Linked DNA regions of Macaca fascicularis. The protein of the gene in region 2 interacts with the protein of the main gene of each other region in a pairwise test. Links are inferred from orthologs where the notes say so. Each region holds a gene or a part of one and is shown on either strand. Other genes may lie near its edges.

Region 1 (9,540 bases), on a different chromosome or scaffold from region 2:
TCAAAAAGGTAAGACCTACTTCTGATCTTTTTCCTATTTCCCTTATCTAATTCTGGTTCCCATTTCATTCTCTTTGCTCACCCATTCCAGGTGGACAGTGCTAGAGAGGTGTGTCTGGTCCAGTTTGAGGATGATTCGCAGTTTCTGGTTCTATGGAAAGACATTAGCCCTGGTAAGACTAGAGACCTGAGATTGCACATCCCATGGAAAACAAACCTGGCTTAGAGGGGCAGAAAGAGACTTAAGGGCAGGCCCCGTGACACTGTGTTCTCTCACAGCTGCCCTCCCTGGGGAGGAACTCCTCTGTTGTGTCTGTCGCTCTGAGACTGTGGTCCCTGGGAACCGGCTGGTCAGCTGTGAGAAGTGTCGCCATGGTGAGAGGGCAGGTCACCTGAATGGTCTAGCTTGCTCTTCCCTCCAGGATGGTCCTTATGTCACCTGTCGTGGCCTTAGTCCCCAAGCCACTGCTCTGGCCAGGCTGCTTAGCCCTATCTTAGTCCTCATCCCCTTTCAGCCCAGGGAGAAGCAGCCATGGAAAGGGGTGGTGTAACCTTTGCAAGCAGAGGATGATTTAACTGCATCCTTTTCTAACCATATGACCTTGGACAAGTCCCTTAACCTCTAGGAGCCTCAGTTCCCTGACTCGTAAAATAAGGATCATGTACCCTCTCATCAAGAACATGGTCAAGGATTAAATGAGATGGGTAAAGACTATTCCTGTCCCAATACCAAGCACACACAGGTATGCAATTAGTGGTCTACTATTAACATTATCACTCTTCAGCTTATCACCAGGACTGCCATGTTCCCAGGGCCCCAGCCCCTGGAGAGGGAGAGGGCACATCCTGGGTATGCCGCCAGTGTGTCTTTGCGATCGCCACCAAGGTAAAGGCACTTCCCTGTTACCCCTTCCTGTGAGAGCCTCCCATCCACATCCTCTCCCAAGCCTTTTCCTCTCCCCACCCCTCTGAAGTCATCCACCTGTCCTGTCTCTGCAGAGGGGAGGTGCCCTGAAGAAGGGCCCCTATGCCCGGGCCATGCTGGGTATGAAGCTCTCTCTGCCATATGGACTGAAGGGGCTGGACTGGGATGCTGGACATCTGAGCAACCGACAGCAGAGTTACTGTTACTGTGGTGGCCCTGGGGAGTGAGTAATGAGGGGGAGCAGACTGTGGAATGAATGATGTGGTGGTGCCTCCCAGGAAATGAAGGAAAAAGAACAGGATGAGGGTAGCACTCAGGGGGATGGGAGGTAAGTTTAGGGTTTGGGGCAGTTATGGGGAAGGGGGTTTCTGGAGGCCAGAAGTCCTATGTTCCCCCTCAGGTGGAACCTGAAAATGCTGCAGTGCCGGAGCTGCCTGCAGTGGTTCCATGAGGCCTGCACCCAGTGTCTGAGCAAGCCCCTCCTCTATGGGGACAGGTGAGACCAAGGCAGACTCTCCAGAAGCCAAGGTGTTCTCTTCGTGCTCCACCCTCAGTTCCCATGCCTGTCTCCACTCCAGTCTCTTCCCAATATCTGCAGCATTACCTCACCTGTTTGCCCCATCCTTGCTTGTGAGTCCTCCAGGGGATGGCATAGTTTTCCTGCGTAAGTGTGTGTTCTCCCTCTTGCCCACGTCCAGGTTCTATGAATTTGAATGCTGTGTGTGTCGTGGAGGCCCTGAGAAAGTCCGGAGACTACAGCTTCGCTGGTGAGCTGGCTTGGGCATGACCTCAGTGTAACTCCACACCCCTAGTATTTTACTCTGTATGCCCCAGCCTCGCACCTCAGGACTCCCCTGGCTCTTAAAATGCCTCTGTGGTCTTGGAAATTTTGTTTTTCCAGGGTGGATGTGGCCCATCTTGTCCTGTATCACCTCAGCGTTTGCTGTAAGAAGAAATACTTTGATTTTGATCGTGAGATCCTCCCCTTCACTTCTGAGAATTGGGACAGTTTGCTTCTGGGGGAGGTAAGGGGTAGTGCAGTTTTGGGGGTTGGGATGGGACAGGGAGATGTAGTGGAAAGGGGAAGAGAAGAAATCACTGTTCCCCTGGCCCCATTTTTCTTCATTCCTCCCAGCTTTCAGACACCCCCAAAGGAGAACGTTCTTCCAAGCTCCTCTCTGCTCTCAACAGCCACAAGGACCGGTGAGTTGGAGGGAGGAGGAGTCTAGGATGAGACTCAGAAAGAGATGTAAGGCCGGGCGCGGTGGCTCAAGCCTGTAATCCCAGCACTTTGGGAGGCCGAGACGGGCGGATCACGAGGTCAGGAGATCGAGACCATCCTGGCTAACACAGTGAAACCCCGTCTCTACTAAAAATACAAAAAACTTAGCCGGGCGAGGTGGCGGGCGCCTGTAGTCCCAGCTACTCGGGAGGCTGAGGCAGGAGAATGGCGTGAACCCGGGAGGCAGAGCTTGCAGTGAGCTGAGATCCGGCCACTGCACTCCAGCCTGGGTGACAGAGCGAGACTCCGTCTCAAAAAAAATAAAAAATAAAAAAAAAAAAAAGAAAGAGATGTAGATTGGAAGCCTGGAAGGGGAGGGGCTTGCAACCCACCTGGAAGACTATGACTGAAAAGGATTGAGGAATGGTGTAAGAAGGAACCTTTTTTTTTTTTTTTTAACAGCACTGACCCTATATCATTTTTCTTCTTGCTCCAGTTTCATTTCAGGGAGAGAGATTAAGAAGAGGAAATGTTTGTTTGGTCTCCATGCTCGGATGCCCCCCCCTGTGGAGCCCCCTACTGGAGATGGAGCACTCACCAGGTCACTGGTCCAGGGGGGATGGGGGAAATTCTCAGGGTGTTAGTGCTGGCGGGTATATGTATAGAGATGGGGAGGTCTTTGGGGTGTCCGGGAGGGGGCTGGGGGGATAAGGAGGCCTCTTACAGCTTCCCTTCAGGGCAGGGCCCTGGGGGAGGGGTCTCACGTCCCCTGGGGAAGCGCCGGAGGCCGGAGCCAGAGCCCCTGAGGAGGAGGCAGAAGGGGAAAGTGGAGGAGCTGGGGCCACCCTCAGCAGTGCGCAATCAGCCCGAGCCCCGGGAGCAGAGGGAGCGGGCTCATCTGCAGAGGGCACTGCAGGTACCGGGGCAGGGGGAACCCTATGGAGTAAATGGTGGGGTGTGGGAAGGAGTCAAGGATTACCTCTCAGTCCTTTGCCCCCTCTTCTAGGCCTCAGTGTCTCCACCATCCCCCAGCCCTAACCAGACTTACCAGGGCAGCAGCGGCTACAACTTCCGGCCCACAGATGCCCGCTGCCTGCCCAGGTCAGTGCTCCTCTGCCTCTCCCCCACAAAATATGCTCCCATTTATTCACATCTTCTGGACTTTCTCACCCAGAATTATTTTCCCTCTCCCCCTTGGCTACCCACTTCTTGGCCTAGACCAACTTCTAGAACCTAGTGTCTGGTAGCCAGTATTCTGGGGAAGGGAGTCCCTTGTGGGTAGTGTTTGAGCTCTGCACTTCCCCGGGGGAGAAGGTCCTGTTCCCCTGCTTCAGGTCCTGACTTGCCCCACTCCAACCCCAGCAGCCCCATCCGGATGTTTGCTTCCTTCCACCCTTCTGCCAGCACCGCAGGGACCTCTGGGGACGGTGAACCCCCAGACAGGTGAGATTCTATCTTCTATTACCAGCAATGCTCCTCTTCCCCTCTATGTGCTCAAGGCTCTTAGTCTCTAACACTGTTTCTCTGATTCACATGTGCTCTCCATTTCTGCCCATTTCTTACAATTGCCTTCTCTCCCTAGGTCACCCCTGGAACTTCACATTGGTTTCCCCACAGACATCCCTAAAAATGCCCCCCACTCGATGACTGCCTCATCTTCCTCAGTCTCATCCCCATCCCCAGGTCTTCCTAGACGCTCAGCACCCCCTTCTCCCCTGTGCCGTAGTTTGTCTCCTGGGACTGGGGGAGGAGTCCGAGGTGGGGTTGGCTACCTGTCCCGAGGGGACCCTGTCCGGGTCCTTGCTCGGAGAGTACGGCCTGATGGCTCTGTGCAGTACCTGGTTGAGTGGGGAGGAGGGGGCATCTTCTGAACAGCTTGCCTCTGCCCACCTCCCCATTCACACACACCGGCACTTTCATACCCTGACCTCTGACCTCACCTACAGCTGGGATGTACCTGGAGAGATAGGGGATAGTTCTCCCTACTGCCCAGGCTGGAATCCAAGAGTGGGGGGTAGGGAAGAGGCTCTCTTCTCTACCTTCCTTCATGATTCCTGACCCCTCCATCCTTCCCATTTCCTTTGATGTTATTTTGTTACAGCTTTTTAAATATTTTTTAAAATTATTTAACCCCTGGGGGCAGAGACTGAGGAGGGAGGATGATAAGGGATCCCGGACTCTGTATGATTGAAATAAAGAGAAATAAATCTAGCAGCTCGGAGTCATTCTGAAAGATGTAGAGAATACAGGGACTAGAAGCACTTATTCTCCCAACAAATTTGCATACATGACAAGGAAAAAACAGGCAAAAGGCAGAAAGACCTAAAGACAGGATTTATTGGGGGCCCGGTCATCACCTGGAAGTCAGAAGGCATTGAGTATCAAGGGGATCACGGCAGGAACAGGGCTCATCATGGCAGGACTGTGCTGGAGTCAGAAACTGACTCTGTGACCTGGTGCACCCACTGCAGGTATGGAAAGTTCCCCTGTTCCACAGGCAATGCAATTACCTCAGCCACTTCGTAAGGGTGCACAGAACTACAAGATAGGTGGGTGGGGGAAGGGGATTACTCAAAGATTGACCTAAAGGAAGCCACTCCCTCGCGCAAGCAAGTCCCATCCCCACAGTACACCCCCACAGTACACACCGTCACCCCATACATCTCAAAGTTCTCACCGAACAAAATCTGTCAAAGCCGGGACCAAGGAACTTTGGGTTTTAATCATCTAAGGGACAAAGATAAACATGGTTGAATCAAGGAGTGGGACTGAGTTCAGTTTCTCAGAAGAGGGGTAAGGGCTAAAGGGGTCAGGGATTGGGGAAATTTTGTTGGGTGGGGGAAATGTTTCTCACCATCAGCACCTCACTGTCTTCCTCGATCTTCCCTTTCCACTCATAGCTGAAAGGTCAGAGGGGGAGAGTTGTGAGGAGCAAAGAATTTCCCCCAGGAAAGAGGTTCCCAGTCAGCTCCTACAGTTAGGTTAACCCCCCAACTCCTATGACTCACATGGATGTAATCTGAGGGATGAGGTTGACGCAGGCTGCTAGGCGCTTCTCCACCACAGCCCTGGAGTGAAGAGACAGTCCCATTCAGAGTGCCCCATGACCCCAGTTTTTGTACTGGCAGCCCAGAGACAGGCTTGCAGAGCTGAAGAGAGGAGAAAGCGGCACTCTTCTGCCCCACCCCCAACTCTCCCTTCATGATCATCCTTTCTCGCTGAACATCGAGGTCCCTACCTGGCGATCTCCTTGGCGACCTTCTCGTTGGGGCAAGTGACAAAGGCTGCAGACACCGAGCCCGGAACGTAGCCGGAGCCGGAATCCGAGGCTGGCGAGGGCTGGGTCGGAGGGCTTCCAGAGGCCATGGTCAGCAGGGCTCGGGGTAGCAACAAAAGGCGGGAGGCCACAGGCAGCAGCGCCGGCATCCAAACAAAAGACAGGAGCAGAGAAGCCTGAGAGCAGGAGGCGAATTCGATCTCTCCTCACCAACAGCCCAGGAAATTACACCCAGGGAAGCCTCTGCTTAGATACTCAGGCTCTGCCCTCCCTCTGATGTACCCCGAAGAAGAATGCCCCTGAAGGTGAGAGAGAAACTTGGAAAAGTAAAGCAAAGGCTCATTTCACTCACACCTCAGGGGGCCAACCTCTGGGATTTGGGGTGCAGGTAGCGGTCGAGGCTTCGAGGACCGGAAGGGGCGGGACGGGGCCGGTCACTCACCACTCCGCCGAGCAGGACCGCGGGAGCCCGCCCCCTACTCATGCGGCCTACGCTGGTAGAGGAGAGTTGATCTCAGAGGCCACACGTCACACGGAGAAACAACCCCAGGAAGAGCGGCCTCTTACCTGGGTGGCAGCCACGTGATAAGAAAACAGCGCGCACCATGTGACAGTAGAAGGGGGACCACCCGCGCTTCCAGAGCCAGCCAATCCTGGCCCTCTCGTGGCGCGGTTTGCCCGCCTCCTGATGAGGGCGGAGCGATGGGAGACTTGACCAATCGACCGCTGGATCTGCAGACGTGCGCGGAAATGGCACGCCCGTTTCCGTGTGAACCCGAAACTACCACTTGCTGGCTGAGGAGAGCCGCTGCGGCGTTCCACTGTCACGTGAGGGGGCCGGTCCTCTCCGGCGGCGGCACTCAGTGAGTGACGCCAAGTGGCCAATCACAGGCCAGCCCTGCAGGCCACGTGAGGCGAGTGCTGGCTCCAGGAAAGGGGGGGGCCGGAGACCCCGCATAGTCGATGCGTCAGGCTGTGGTGTGGGGAATCATTCTTAAACCCCACAATGTGCCTAACCTCCCCTGCACTGTTTCCGAGGCCTTAAGGTGTGGCAGGGTCTGAGAAAGACCCTTCACCCCAACCTCAGGGGTTAAGAGAGCGCCCCCTGCCATTTTAGTTGGGACAGAGATATGCCTGGGTTTGGGAATGAACAACGGTGATCTAGAAGCCCGCTGTCCCTGCGTAGCGGGGAGTGATTAGGCAGGCATGGGCATGGCACGACAATAGCTAGGTGAGGAAAGATGCATTTTAAAACAGAGCGAGATCCTGTAAATGGGGTAGAGGATGGTGAAAATGGGGCCTAGCCATCTTAATTGAAAACCCAAAGCTTGAGACAGACTACTGAATCAGAGGGAAGGAGAACGAGGGCTGCAGGATGGGGACAGTGGTGATGGTCCTTCTGTCCCCTCTTCCCTGCCTATTCCACTCCCCAGGATTGGTCCACCTCTCAGCCTTGGGTCTCCTTTCCCTAACCCATCCCCTGAGGAGCCAGGACCTGCCCTACATAACTTCCCTGGGGCCCAAGCACATCCTGTGACCCAAAAATGGAGAGAGGGGCCAGTGAGAGGCAGAGAGGTGGGAGGAGGCGCAGAGAAAAAAGCTCTTGCCACTGCCCCCACCCAATATTTCCCCTCCCTTCAAGGTCTGAGGTCATTGGTCTGGTGGTGGGGATGCCTCGGAGTTTCCCAGGCTGACGTCAGTGTTCTACCTCTCGGAGGTTCTAGGGCAGGGAAGTGGGGAGGGGAGGTTCCCTGAGATCTCTGTCTTTGAGTTTGGAGTTTGTCTCTGAGACAGATTTCGGAGGGGTCTTTCAGTATTTGTGTGGAGATCTTTCTTAGGACTGAGTTTCCTTTTATGTTTTTGGTCTGGGGGGTTTCTATGTTTCAGGGTCTGTGGTCGCACTCTGAGGTCTTTCGAAGTCTTCTTCATGAATTTTGGGTCTCTGAGTTGTCCATCTCTGGACCAGCTGAGGTCTCTCTCTATCTCCCCTTAAATCTGGAGTGTCTCTGTCTCTGAGTTATCAGTCTCTGAGATCTGAGTCTGGGGTCTCTCTCTAGGTCTGAGTTCTCTAAGCTCTAATTCTACATCTGGCTCTTTCTGAATCTGGGCCTCATCTTTTTCTGAGTCTAGGTCTCAGGTCCTGGTCCCTGAAATCATCATCTCAGGGTCTGGAGTCTAAGATGTCTGTGGGTATGGAGAACCTTTTTGAGCCTGGATTCTCAGATTTTGATCTTGGGTTCCTCTCTCTGGGGGATCTGGGGTCGTTTTTTCCTCAAATCAGGAGTCTCTTTTCCTCTAGATTTTGGGCCTGTGTCTCAAATTAACCCACGGTGGGGGGTGGTGAAGTATCTTTCTCTGTGGGTCTAGGGTCTCTCTCTCAGGGTCTGGGGTCTGCATCTTTAGCACCTCTGTCTTTCTCTGGTGTGTTTTTGAGTCAGGGGTCTCTCTCTCTCACAATCTGGGCCTCCCCGAGTAGGGGTGGGGGCTGCAGAGTCTCTCCCTCCTCCTCCTCCTCCTGCTCTCTTAGCTCTCGCTCGCTCCCCCGCCCCCCCTCTCTCTCGGCTGCCGCTGCTGCCGTTGGCTCTTATTCTCCTCCTCCTCCTCCTCTCTCCTCCTCTCTGCTTCTCTCTGCTCCTCTCTCCTCCTCTCTCCTCCTCCTCCTCCTCCACCTCCTCCTCCTTCTCCCCCTCTTTCTCCCCCTCTTTCTCTCTTCTTTCTCCCCCGTCCCCCCGCCCCCTCCCCCCAGGCCTGATGAGCAGGTCTCGAGCCTCCATCCATCGGGGGAGCATCCCCGCGATGTCCTATGCCCCCTTCAGAGGTACGTGGTGGGGGGAGGGGGAGGGCCATATGGGGGGCAACAGGGGGAGGGGCAGGGGGCGGGGGAGAGTCGGGGCCAAGGGAGGGGAGCGGCTGAAATGGAGAGAGAGGGGAGGACCGGGAAGGCAGGGGTGGGAGCAACCGGGAAGGAGGGATTGGAGGCCAGAGGGAGAGGGGTAGATAAGGGACGGAGGGGCCAGGAAATGGGCCTTGAAAGGGGGCTGAAGGGAAAATGATGAAGGGGGAAGAAAGCGCCAGAAAGGGGTGGGAAGGTAGAAGGATTGGGTTGGGGAAAAAGCTGCAGAAATAATTTGGGGGTGGGAGCTGAGTGATGAGGAAAACATCAAGGAAATAGAGGGACAGAGTCTTGGAAGAGGGGCTAGGAGGGAGAAATGAAAACATAGGGGTGAAAAGAGAAGCCAAGAAGATGTGGGGGGAGAATTTGGTGGGGGACTCAGAGTATGGTAAGGGGTGGAAAAAGAGAGGAGGATGGAGGGAGAGAAGGGGCCAGATGGAGAGAGAGGGAGGCAGTGGGGGGTGGGGGGATGGAGGGTCCAGATGGAGGGAAGAGAGGAGAGATGGAATGGTGGGGGAGGGGAGACCAGGGCAGGGGGAGGGCCAAATTATGTGTGCTTGGTGGGGTGGCAATATAAGTAAAATTAAGTGATGGGAGTAGGGGACAGGTTAGGATCCTGCCCCAGCCTCTGACCCTCTTAAAGGCTCTTGACCAGTGAAATGTAACCTCTGGGGTCTTAATGCTGTCTTCACTTCATCACTTTTACCCCCTTCCCCCACCCCTCCAATCCTTATTTCCATTCCCCCTCCCTCCTCTGCTGTCCATCACCTATATCTTTCCCCCCATATGGTGTCCGTTCCTTATATGAGTCCCCCTTCTGTCCTTCCCCTATATCAGTCCCCTCTCTGGTGTCCATTGCCTCTCTCTATCTCTTTTCTATGTGGTCGCTCCCTTATATCTCTATCGCTTCTCTACTAGTCTGTCTTGACCCCTTGTCATAGCCCCCGCATTAGGTCTGCCTCCTTTGCTCTGACACGTCCAGTCGAGCCCTTCAGGTGTATTCCCTTGCCCCTAGGCATTTACTATCATTTCTGCCTCCTTTTCTTTTATATCTACTCCTATTATTTGTCCCCCAGACCATTCCTTGTCACCACAAGTCTGTGCCTACCCACTTTCCCTTAATACCTCAACTCTTATTATCATTTCTCTTTTCTTGTCTCCTCTACTTATTGGGGTGTTGGAGATTTGGGTTACAAAGACACAGGTTTTGATGATTAGAACAAG
Region 2 (9,798 bases):
GACTACAGGTGCCCGCCAGCACACCCGGCTAATTTTTTTTTAAATTTTTTTATTTTTAGTAGAGACGGGGTTTCACCATGTTAGCCAGGATGGTCTCGATCTCCTGACCTTGTGATCCGCCCGCCTCGGCCTCCCAAAGTGTTGGGATTACAGGTGTGAGCCACCGTGCCCGGCCAACATTAATATTTTCTATTTTTCGAATCATCAAAGGATTTCAGAATGAGGAACACAGGGACTGGGACTCGGGGCCCAAACTCTACCAACATCACTGTTCTGCCCCAGAAACCTCACCTGGGCACATGCTGGAGAGTAACAGAGGGGACAATTTGTGCACAGAGACTTGGTTCTGGGCACCCTTTGGAAGCTGCATTGATCCCACAAAAGAGTCCTTACAGGGGGCCAGGCGCGGTGGCTTACCCCCATAAGCCTAGCACTTTGGGAGGCCGAGGCGGATGGATCAAGAAGTCAGGAGTTCGAGACCAGCCTGGCCAGCATGAGGAAACCCCACCTCTACGAAAAATATAAAAATTAGCTGGGCATGGTGGCGGGTGCTTGTAATCCCAGCTACTCATGAGGCTGAGGCAGGAGAATTGTTTGAACCCGGGAGGCGGAGGTTGCTGAGATCATGACATTGTACTCAAGCCTGGAAGACAGGGTGAGAGTCCGTCTCAAAAGAAAGAAAAAAAGAGTCCCTATAGGGACTACTTTGGGGTCACAGGTGGGCCTCCTGATGCAGTAGGGACCAGGGTCTGCAATCTGCCTTCCTCCATGGTCAGCTGGGTGAGGTGCTCCTATGTGTCTCCTCCCTGCAAGGCCACTTGGGTCTCTCAAGTGGACCACGGGCTACACAACTGCAGCATCTGTACCACCTGTTTGGCATTGTAACACATGCTGGAGGGCCACATGAGACCCCTCCTAAATTAGAACCAACTGGAGAAAATACTTCATCTACCACCAAGTCTCACAACCTCTGTAAGGCAGCTGTGCAGTGGCTGAAACGTCACTGAACCCAGCCCACACAAGCACGGCTGGAACCCGTTTTCTGAGACTGTTTGCCTGTTTCCTTTTTTTTTAAAGATAGGGTCTCGCTCTGTCACCCAGGCTAGAGTGCAGTGGCATGATCATGGCTCACTGCAGCCTCCACCTGCCAGGCTCAAGCAATCCTCCTGCCTCAGCTTCCAAAGTAGCTGTAACTACAGAAGGGTACAACCATGCCTGGCTAATGTTTTCAAATTTTTTGTAAGATGAGGTCTTACTGTGCAGGCTGGCTTTGAACTCCTGGGCTCAAGTGATCCTCCTGCCTCAGCCTCCCAAAGTGCTGGGATCATAGGTGTGAGCCACCGCACCCCACCAGTTTCCCCATCTTAATGGGGACAATAAATTCCATCTCACAAGACTGTCACTAGGATTAAACAAGGTGATGTCAATGAAAGCATTTTATAAATTTAAAAATACTACCTACATATAAAAGCATTGTTATCCTTCCAACAATAGTCATAAATAATATGGACCCCAAAGCAAGTAGAAATGGTGAGATGTGGGTGTGGGCAGTGCATGGAAACCCACTTTCTTCTTAGGTAACAGCACTCAACTCCTTTCAGGCTGCTGTGTTTCAAGAGCCTCATTTTTTTTTTTTTTTTTTTGAGATGGAATCTTGCTCTATTGCCCAGGGTAGATGGCTAGAGTGCAGTGGCACAATCTCAGCTCACTGCAACCTCTGCCTCCTGGGTTCAAGCGATTCTCCTGCCTCAGCCTCCCAAGTAGTTGGGACTGCAGGCGTGCGCCAGCATACCCAGCTAATTTTTTTTTTGAGACGGAGTCTTACTCTGTCGTCAGTGTGGAGCACAGTGGTGCAATCTCGGCCCACTGCAACCTCTGCCTCCTGGATTCAAGCAATTCTCCTGTCTCACCTTCCCGAGTAGCTGGGATTACAGACACACACCACCACACCCAGGTAATTTTTGTATTTTTAGTAGAGATGGGATTTCACCATGTTGGCCAGGATGGTCTCCATCTCTTGACCTCGTGATCCGCCTGCCTCAGCCTCCCAAAGTGCTGGGATTACAGGAGTGAGCCACTGCACCTGGCCTAATTTTTGTATTTTTAGTAGAAACTGGGTTTCGCCATGTTGGCCAGGCTGGTCTTGAACTCCTGAATGCAAGTGATCCATCCGCCTGGGCCTCCCGAAGTGCTGGGATTACCAGCATGAGCCACCGTGCCTGGTCAAGAAGCCTCATCTTCTGACACATAACTTCTGGAGTCCAAATGCTGACTTACTACACCACCCTTGGCCACATCACCAAGACCACTGTGGGGATTTATTCACTTCCTGACTTCCTGGCTCAGGAAAGTGCCAGTCACTGCTGGACTCATTAGGACAATGGTGGGGATAACAGCATTTAAACTTCCTCATTGGGCTTTCAAAATGCACTATCAGCAGGACTTTGAACTATAACCAACAAAGACAATGTAATTACGCAGCAATTTATCAACTTCTCTACCCAGCTCCTTTGACAACCTCAGTGAAAATAGTCTTTGGGTCCCAGTATCTGTTTATATAAGTGGGAGTGAACAAGTGTTTCGAAATACTCATGGAGTAAGAGATCTGCTCTGGGGCTCTCCACTTAGGTCCCCCCCATAAAAGTTGCCACTTTGTCACCATCACCGGAGAAAACAGAAGCTTCAGTGACAAGGAGCCGGCAGTAGAAGGGGTGGGAGAGGATTTCTGAGCCTCCTCAGCAGGACTGACTACATAATTTGTAGGATCTTGGACAAAATTAAAATGTGGGACCCCTTGTTCAGAAATTAAGAATTTTGGCTGGGTGTAGTGGCTCACGCCACCCAGCACTTTGGGAGGCCAAGGTGGGCAGATCACTTGAGATCAGGAGTTTAACACCAGCCTGGTCAACATGGCGAAACCCTGTCTCTACTAAAAATACAAAAATTACCCGGGCACAGTAGTGCGAGCCTGTCATTCCAGCTACTCGGGAGGCTGAGGCAAGAGAGTTGCTTGAACCTGAGAGGCAGAGGTTGCAGTGAGCTGAGATAGTGCCACTGTACTCCAGCTTGGGGAACAAAGTGAGACTCAGTCTCTAAAAAAAAAAAAAGAAAAGAAAAAAAAAAACTAAGAATTTCAGGCTGTAGGTAGTGGCTCATGCATGTGATCTCAGCACTTTGGGAGGCCAAAGTGAGAGAATCGCTTGAGCCCAGGAGTTCAAGACCAGCCTGGGCAAATTTTTGTAGAGAAGTCATCTCTATAAAAATTTAAAAAATAAAAAAATTAGCTGGGTGTGGTGGTGGGCACCTGTACTTACAGCTACTCAGGATGCTAAGGTGAGAGAACTGCTTGAGCCCAAAATTTTAAGGCTACAGTGAGCTATGATTACACTACTGCACTCCAGCCTGACTCCAGTCTCTGTCTCTATTAAAAACAAAGGCCGGGCGCAGTGGCTCACGCCTGTAATCCCAGCACTTGGGGAGGCTCAGGCGGGCGGATCACGGGGTCATGAGATTGAGACCATCCTGGCTAATACAGTGAAATCCCATCTGTACTAAAAAATACCAAAAAAATTAGCCGGGTGTGGTGGCAGGTGCCTGTAGTCCCAGCTACTCGGGAGGCTGAGGCAGGGGAATGGCGTGAACCCGGGAGGCGGAGCTTGCAGTGAGCCGAGATCGCGCCACTGCACTCCAGCCTGGGTGACAGAGCGAGACTCCATCTCAAAAATAAATAAATAAAAATAAAAATAAAAACAAACAAAAAAAATCAAGACTTTAAAGAGAGCAATAGCAGAACTTTAAAGCTAGCATAGGACCCGTCTGATTGCCAAGTCACGTGTGACGACACCTGGGCCCTTCTTCCTGGGACAACTGCACCAGTTTCTAATCAGCTCGCCCATCTCAGCCTGACCCCTCTCTGCAGCCTAAAGTCCAGACTCTCTAGTCTGGCACTGCAGCCCTTTCCTTCACTCTGGCCTAAACATTAACCATAACCCCAGCCCTCTACACTCCAGTCACATCTACAGACTTCCACTTCTGGCCGGGAGCAGTGGCTCATGCCTGTAATCCCAGCACTCTGGAAGAAAGCTGATTTCTACATTCTCTTGCCTGGCACCCGGAAAAGGTACGTGGTGTAGATCTGTCCAGCATCCTCTTCTCCCTTCCTCCGGTTATAGCAACCCCTCTTTTTTTATGTGGTTCTGCCTCCCTGGCCCCAGGGGTTATCAATCCTAGCACCCAGCCACAGTGACTGGCCCTGAATGGGCATGTGACCCTAGCTGGGGTGATTAGAGGCCTTCTAGAGACAGTCTGGCTTCCCTGGATGTGGTGTGCTCTGTCTTTCCCCTAGGGTTTCTAAGCCGGGGAGATGTAAACCTGGGCCACCTCTGCCCATGCACTGTGCCCCACCTCCCCACAGAGAAGGCCAGCCCACAGGCAGCAAAAATGAAGCAAACACATAAAAAAGGCAGAGACAAGAGATGGAAAAGAGGCCGGGAGCGTTGGCTCATGCCTGTAATCCCAGCACATTGGGAGGTGGAGTGGACGGATCACCTGAGACCCACCTGGCCAACATGGTGAAACCCCATCTCTACTAAAAATACAGAAACTAGCCAGGTGCGGTGGTGCATGCCTGTAATTCTAGCTACTTGGGAGGCTGAGGCAGGAGAATTGCTGAACCCAAAAGGCGGAGGTTGCAGTGAGCTGAGATCATACCACTTCACTCCAGCCTGGCAACAAAAGTAAGACTACCTCCAAAAAAAAAAAAAATGAAAGAAAGAAAGAAAGAAAGAAAGAAAGAAAGAGAGAGAGAGAGAGAGAGAGAGAGAGAGAGAGAAAGAAAGAAAGAAAGAAAGAAAGAAAGAAAGAAAGAAAGAAAGAAAGAAAGAGAGAAAGAAAGATGGAGAGAGTCCTGATGCCATCACTCAATACCATCAGTGTTTCCACCACCATTAGCCAACAGATTCTCTTTTTTGTAGAAAGCAACTTGAGTTTGGTTTCTTTTTTTTTTTTTTTTTTTTTTTTGAGACAGAGTCTTGCTCTGTCACCCAGGCTGGAGTGCAGTGGCGCGATCTCGGCTCACTGCAAGCTCCGCCTCCCAGGTTCATGCCATTCTCCTGCCTCAGCCTCCCGAGTAGCTGGGACTACAGGCGCCCGCCACCGCGCCCGGCTGATTTTTTTTTGTATTTTTGGTAGAGACGGGGTTTCACCGTGTTACCCAGGATGGTCTCGATCTCCTGACCTCGTGATCCACCCGCCTCGGCCTCCCAAAGTGCTGGGATTACAGGCGTGAGCCACCGCGCCCAGCCCCGAGTTTGGTTTCTTATCATTAACGCGAAGAGTTGATAATAGACTATAGTTGTATTTCCAGCATCTTTTGTTTCTCCTACTGGACAGTGAGCAATTTGAGAGTACAGCCCCCACCCTGACCTGTCCCCATGTCCAAGCAACCCAGCCAAGGGCCTGGCAATGCAGCGATGGAATATTATTAAACCACCTGGGCTCTACTCACCTCACACCTATAGCAATTTTCATGGAAGTTTCTTCCCATGCACTCGATTTTGAAGGCATCTTTCCCATCCCGAGGAATGATGGGATTTTCACAGATGCTGCAGACGGGGGCGAATTTCCTAGAAGCAAAGAAACCCATGCTTGGGAGGCGTTCATGCCACAACCACATAAATTAATTAGCTGTCAGAACTCGGGCTGGCTGGTGTTCACCTCCTGAGCAATTTCAGTCCCGTTGCTATGGGACTGCATTAGCAGCTATAAGCAGAGATGTCTATTTCTTCCTGGCAGGAGCAGGTGGAGAGACCTGTGTAATGAGACCTGGTTTCCCAGCATCACTGGAGATTGCCTGAATTGAGAACTGTGTTCAGTGGGGCTGGGACCCATCTCATCTGTCTTTTTTTTTTTTTTTGAGACGGAGTTTTTTGGCTCTTGTCACCCAGGCTGGAGTGCAATGGCACAATCTCCGCTCACTGCAACCTCCGCCTCCCAGGTTCAAGCGATTCTCCTGCCTCAGCCTCCTGAGCAGCTGGGACTACAGGCAGGCGCTACTATGCCCAGCTAATTTTTGCATTTTGAGTAGCGACCACAGGGTTTCACCATGTTGGTCAGGCTGGTCTTGAACTCCTGACCTCGTGATCCGCCCACCTTGGCCTCCCAAAGTGCTGGGATTACAGGTGTGAGCCGCTGTGCCCAGCCAGTACTTCTTTCTTAAGAGGCACATCTGTCTCTCCCCTTGAGTGGTGAGCAACTCATGGGCAGGGATTGAGTCCAACAGATGTGTCCCCACTGCGTCATTCAGCTCCAAGGGCAGACCCAGAGGTCTGGGGTTTCAGAGCAGGGCCCGAAAGTCAGGTCCTTGGGGATGTGCATACTTACCAAGAGTTTCAATACTTACCTGTGGAGAGACTTTGGGTACTTAGCTGCTGTGTGCCTTGGTTGGTAAAACAGAACCCTTAATAGTACCTGCCTGTGACATTATATATATTTTTTAGTTTTTTGCTTTGTTTTGCTTGAGATGGAGTCTAGCTCTGTCGCCCAGGCTGGAGTGCAGTGGCACGATCTCAGCTCACTGTAAGCTCCACCTTCCGGGTTCACGCCATTCTCCTGCCTCGGCCTCCTGAGTAGCTGGGACTACAGGCGCCCGCCACCAGGCCTGGCTAATTTTTTTTGTATTGTTAGTAGAGATGGGGTTTCACCGTGTTAGCTAGGATGGTCTCAATCTCCTGAACTCGTGATCCACCCTCCTCAGTCTCCCAAAATGCTGGGATTATGGGCATGAGCCACTGTGCCCGGTCCAGCCCTGTAATATTCTTTTTTTTTTTTTTTTTTTGAGACGGAGTCTCGCTCTGTCTCCCAGGCTGGAGTGTAGTGGCCGGATCTCAGCTCACTGCAAGCTCCGCCTCCCGGGTTCACGCCATTCTCCTGCCTCAGCCTCCTGAGTAGCTGGGACTACAGGCGCCCGCCACCTCGCCCGGCTAGTTTTTTTTTGTATTTTTTAGTAGAGACGGGGTTTCACCGTGTTAGCCAGGATGGTCTCGATCTCCTGACCTCGTGATCCACCCGTCTCGGCCTCCCAAAGTGCTGGGATTACAGGCTTGAGCCACCGCGCCCGGCCTGTAATATTCTTTATAATAAACCAGTAGACAGGAAACTCTGGCCCAGCACCCAGGACTCAGGCTCGGCTCCTTCATCCTGCTTGGATCTCGCCCTGTCCCTGCACCCCACCTGGTGCCAAACCCCTCTCGTACCTGTAGAAGTCATCCAGGCAGTACACCTCGTTCTGGCTGCCCAGGGCAAAGCTCTCATCCCCAATGCACCGGGCGCAGGTCACACACGTGAAGCAGGAGGGGTGGAAGGCCTGGCCCAGGGCCCTGATGATGTGGTCCTGGACCACTTCGCCACACTTGCCGCACTTCTCCAACGTGTCCTGGGACAGAGGCCACTGCCAGAGTCATCCACGGCACACCCACTCCAACCCACAAGGGTCTCTTCTTCTGGGAGCCTGCCCTCGGGGGCCCAGGAATTGGGAAGTACAGGAGAGGCCTGCAGACAACCTGTAACTATCGCCCAAAACCTCCACCATTGCTTATAACAAATTGAGCTTAGCCTTGCATCCTTGGCTTACTGTAAGGAATACTGCCCTGATGCCCTGATGCTATGACTACATTTCTTGTTACTGGGATATGTTTAAGGTCAGGGTTCAAAGAGCTCATAGGAGAAACTTCGCTTAAACCTCAGGGTCAGGAAAAGGAATTCTCAGGAGAATTGGGTGCTTTTATCATATAGACAAGAAGCCTTGAAATTCTTTCCCTTTTCCATTTGGCCACTTGGAAGCTCAGAGCCAAATTCCACATTTCATATTTCGAAACCATTATAGGGCTTTTTTGTTGTTATTTGGTTTTTGTTTTGTTTTGGGACAAAGTCTCACTCTGTTACTGAGGCTGGAGTGCAGTGCCCCAATCTCAGCTCACTGCATCCTCTACATGAGGTTCAAGTGATTCTCATGCCTCAGCCTCCTGAGTAGCTGGAACTACAGGTGCATGTTACCACGCCTGGCTAATTTTTTGTATTTTTTGTAGACATGGTGTTCCACTATGTTGGCCAGGCTGGTTTCGAACTCCTGACCTCAAGTGATCGACCTGCCTTAGCCTCCCAAAGTGCTGGGATTATAGGCGTGAGCCTCCCTGTCTGGCATCCTCACACACGGTGGGTCGTAACATTCCCTTTGATCTCGTCTCACTTTCTATTTTGATTTTCCTTCTGTTTGGATGTCTTTATTTTACATATCATAGTATTATTGCAGTCTTTTACAAATTGTTTTATTGTTGGAAGAACACTTAACATGAGATCTACCTTTTTTTTTTTTCCTGAGGCGGAGTTTCGCTCTTGTCACCCAGGTTGAAGTGCAATGGTGCAATCTTGGCTCACCACAACCTCGCCTCCTGGGTTAAAGCAAATCTCCTGCCTCAGCCTCCCAAGTAGCTGGGATTACAGACATGTACCAACACCCAGGCTAATTTTTTGTATTTTTAGTAGAGACGGGGTTTCTCCATGTTGGCCAGGCTGCTCTTGAACTCCTGACCTCAGGTGATCCGCCTGCCTCGGCCTCCCAAAGTGCTGGGATTACAGGCATGAGCCACTGTGCCCAGGCTTTTTCTTTTTTTTGAGATGGAGTCTTGCTCTGTCGCCCAGACTGGAATGCAGTGGTGCGATCTTGACTCACTGCAGCCTCCGCCTCCTGGGTTCAAGCAATTCTCCTGCCTCAGCCTCCGGAGTAGCTGGGATTACAGGCATGCACCACTGTGCCTGGCTAGTTTTTGTATTTTTAGTAGAGACAGGGTTTTTCCATTTTGGTCAGGCTGGTCTCGAACTCCTAACCTCAGGTGATCTGCCTGCCTCGGCCTGGCATGAGCCACGGCACCCAGCCAGTTAATATAATTTTATATGACGCCTTTAAGAAGAAATGTGCCAGGCAAGGTGGCTTATGCCTGTAATCCCTGGACTTTGGGAGGCCAAGGCAGGTGGATCTCCTGAGGTCAGGAGTTCCAGACAAGCCTGGCCAATCCAACATGGTGAAAACCCCTGTCTCTACTAAAAATACAAAAAACAAAAAAACAAAAAAAACCAACCAACCAACAAACAAAAAAACCAGCTGGGCATGGTGGTAGGCACCTGTAATCCCAGCTACTTGGGAAGCTGAGGCGGGAGAATCACGTGGAATTTTTCAGTGCACCTATATCATTGCGGTCTATAGGTATACATGCATTCTCTTTAAAAACACGTTTTAATAAAAAATAACTATTTTAAAATAGAGGTGGAGTCTTGCCATGTTGTCCAGGCTGGTCTCGAACTCCTGACCTCAAGTAATCCTCCCACCTCAGCCTCCTGAAGTGCTGAGATTGCAGGTGTGAGCCACCGCGCCTGGCTGGTATATATGCATTCATAGAAGCTGCCTCAAATTCCTCCTGGAATAAGGAGCAATGATAAAGAGATACCTGAGGCAGGGCAGCGGGCCTCCCTCTAGCCTTTCCACCTTTTCTCCTGGACATGCTGTCTCTCCTTCCTGGCTGTGCTCCTGTGCATTTTACCTTGACGCCACCTGGACAGATGTAGGGGCATCTCCCACTCCCACCCTCCCTCTCATGGGCACGGCCCTTCTCTCCCCAGCACACTGATCAAGTCTTCCTCTTGGCTGCTTTCAGCTAGACACCCCTCCTCACCCCTCCTCCCCCAGTGTCTCACCCCTGAGGGACACTCCCCCATCATATTGATGGGGTCACAGGGACACGGCAG

What was found. The genes of interacting proteins can lie anywhere in the genome.
Region 1: the proteins of FBLIM1 (region 2) and CUTA interact in binary tests that used the Homo sapiens proteins (3 or more experiments, as listed by UniProt). The two-hybrid records come from large-scale screens. The link is inferred for Macaca fascicularis from reciprocal best matches to the Homo sapiens genes FBLIM1 and CUTA.

What each region holds. Positions count from the first base shown.
Region 1 is NC_088378.1:138,272,132-138,281,671, reverse strand, and holds CUTA (protein CutA), read right to left. Parts: upstream 6,019-9,540; 5' UTR 5,991-6,018; exon of another isoform or gene 5,918-5,990; 5' UTR 5,908-5,917; coding exon 5,866-5,907; exon of another isoform or gene 5,778-5,865; intron 5,600-5,777; coding exon 5,385-5,599; intron 5,215-5,384; coding exon 5,155-5,214; intron 5,047-5,154; coding exon 5,001-5,046; intron 4,874-5,000; coding exon 4,824-4,873; intron 4,685-4,823; coding exon 4,558-4,684; 3' UTR 4,466-4,557; downstream 1-4,465. Other genes in the region: PHF1 (PHD finger protein 1), read left to right, coding at 1-8, 91-172, 279-374, 785-885, 999-1,147, 1,325-1,420, 1,623-1,691, 1,826-1,949 and 6 more; SYNGAP1 (ras/Rap GTPase-activating protein SynGAP), read left to right, coding at 8,175-8,241. UniProt on the Homo sapiens protein: May form part of a complex of membrane proteins attached to acetylcholinesterase (AChE).
Region 2 is NC_088375.1:219,336,412-219,346,209, forward strand, and holds part of FBLIM1 (filamin-binding LIM protein 1), read right to left. Parts: intron 7,433-9,798; coding exon 7,254-7,432; intron 5,625-7,253; coding exon 5,507-5,624; intron 1-5,506. UniProt on the Homo sapiens protein: Serves as an anchoring site for cell-ECM adhesion proteins and filamin-containing actin filaments. Is implicated in cell shape modulation (spreading) and motility.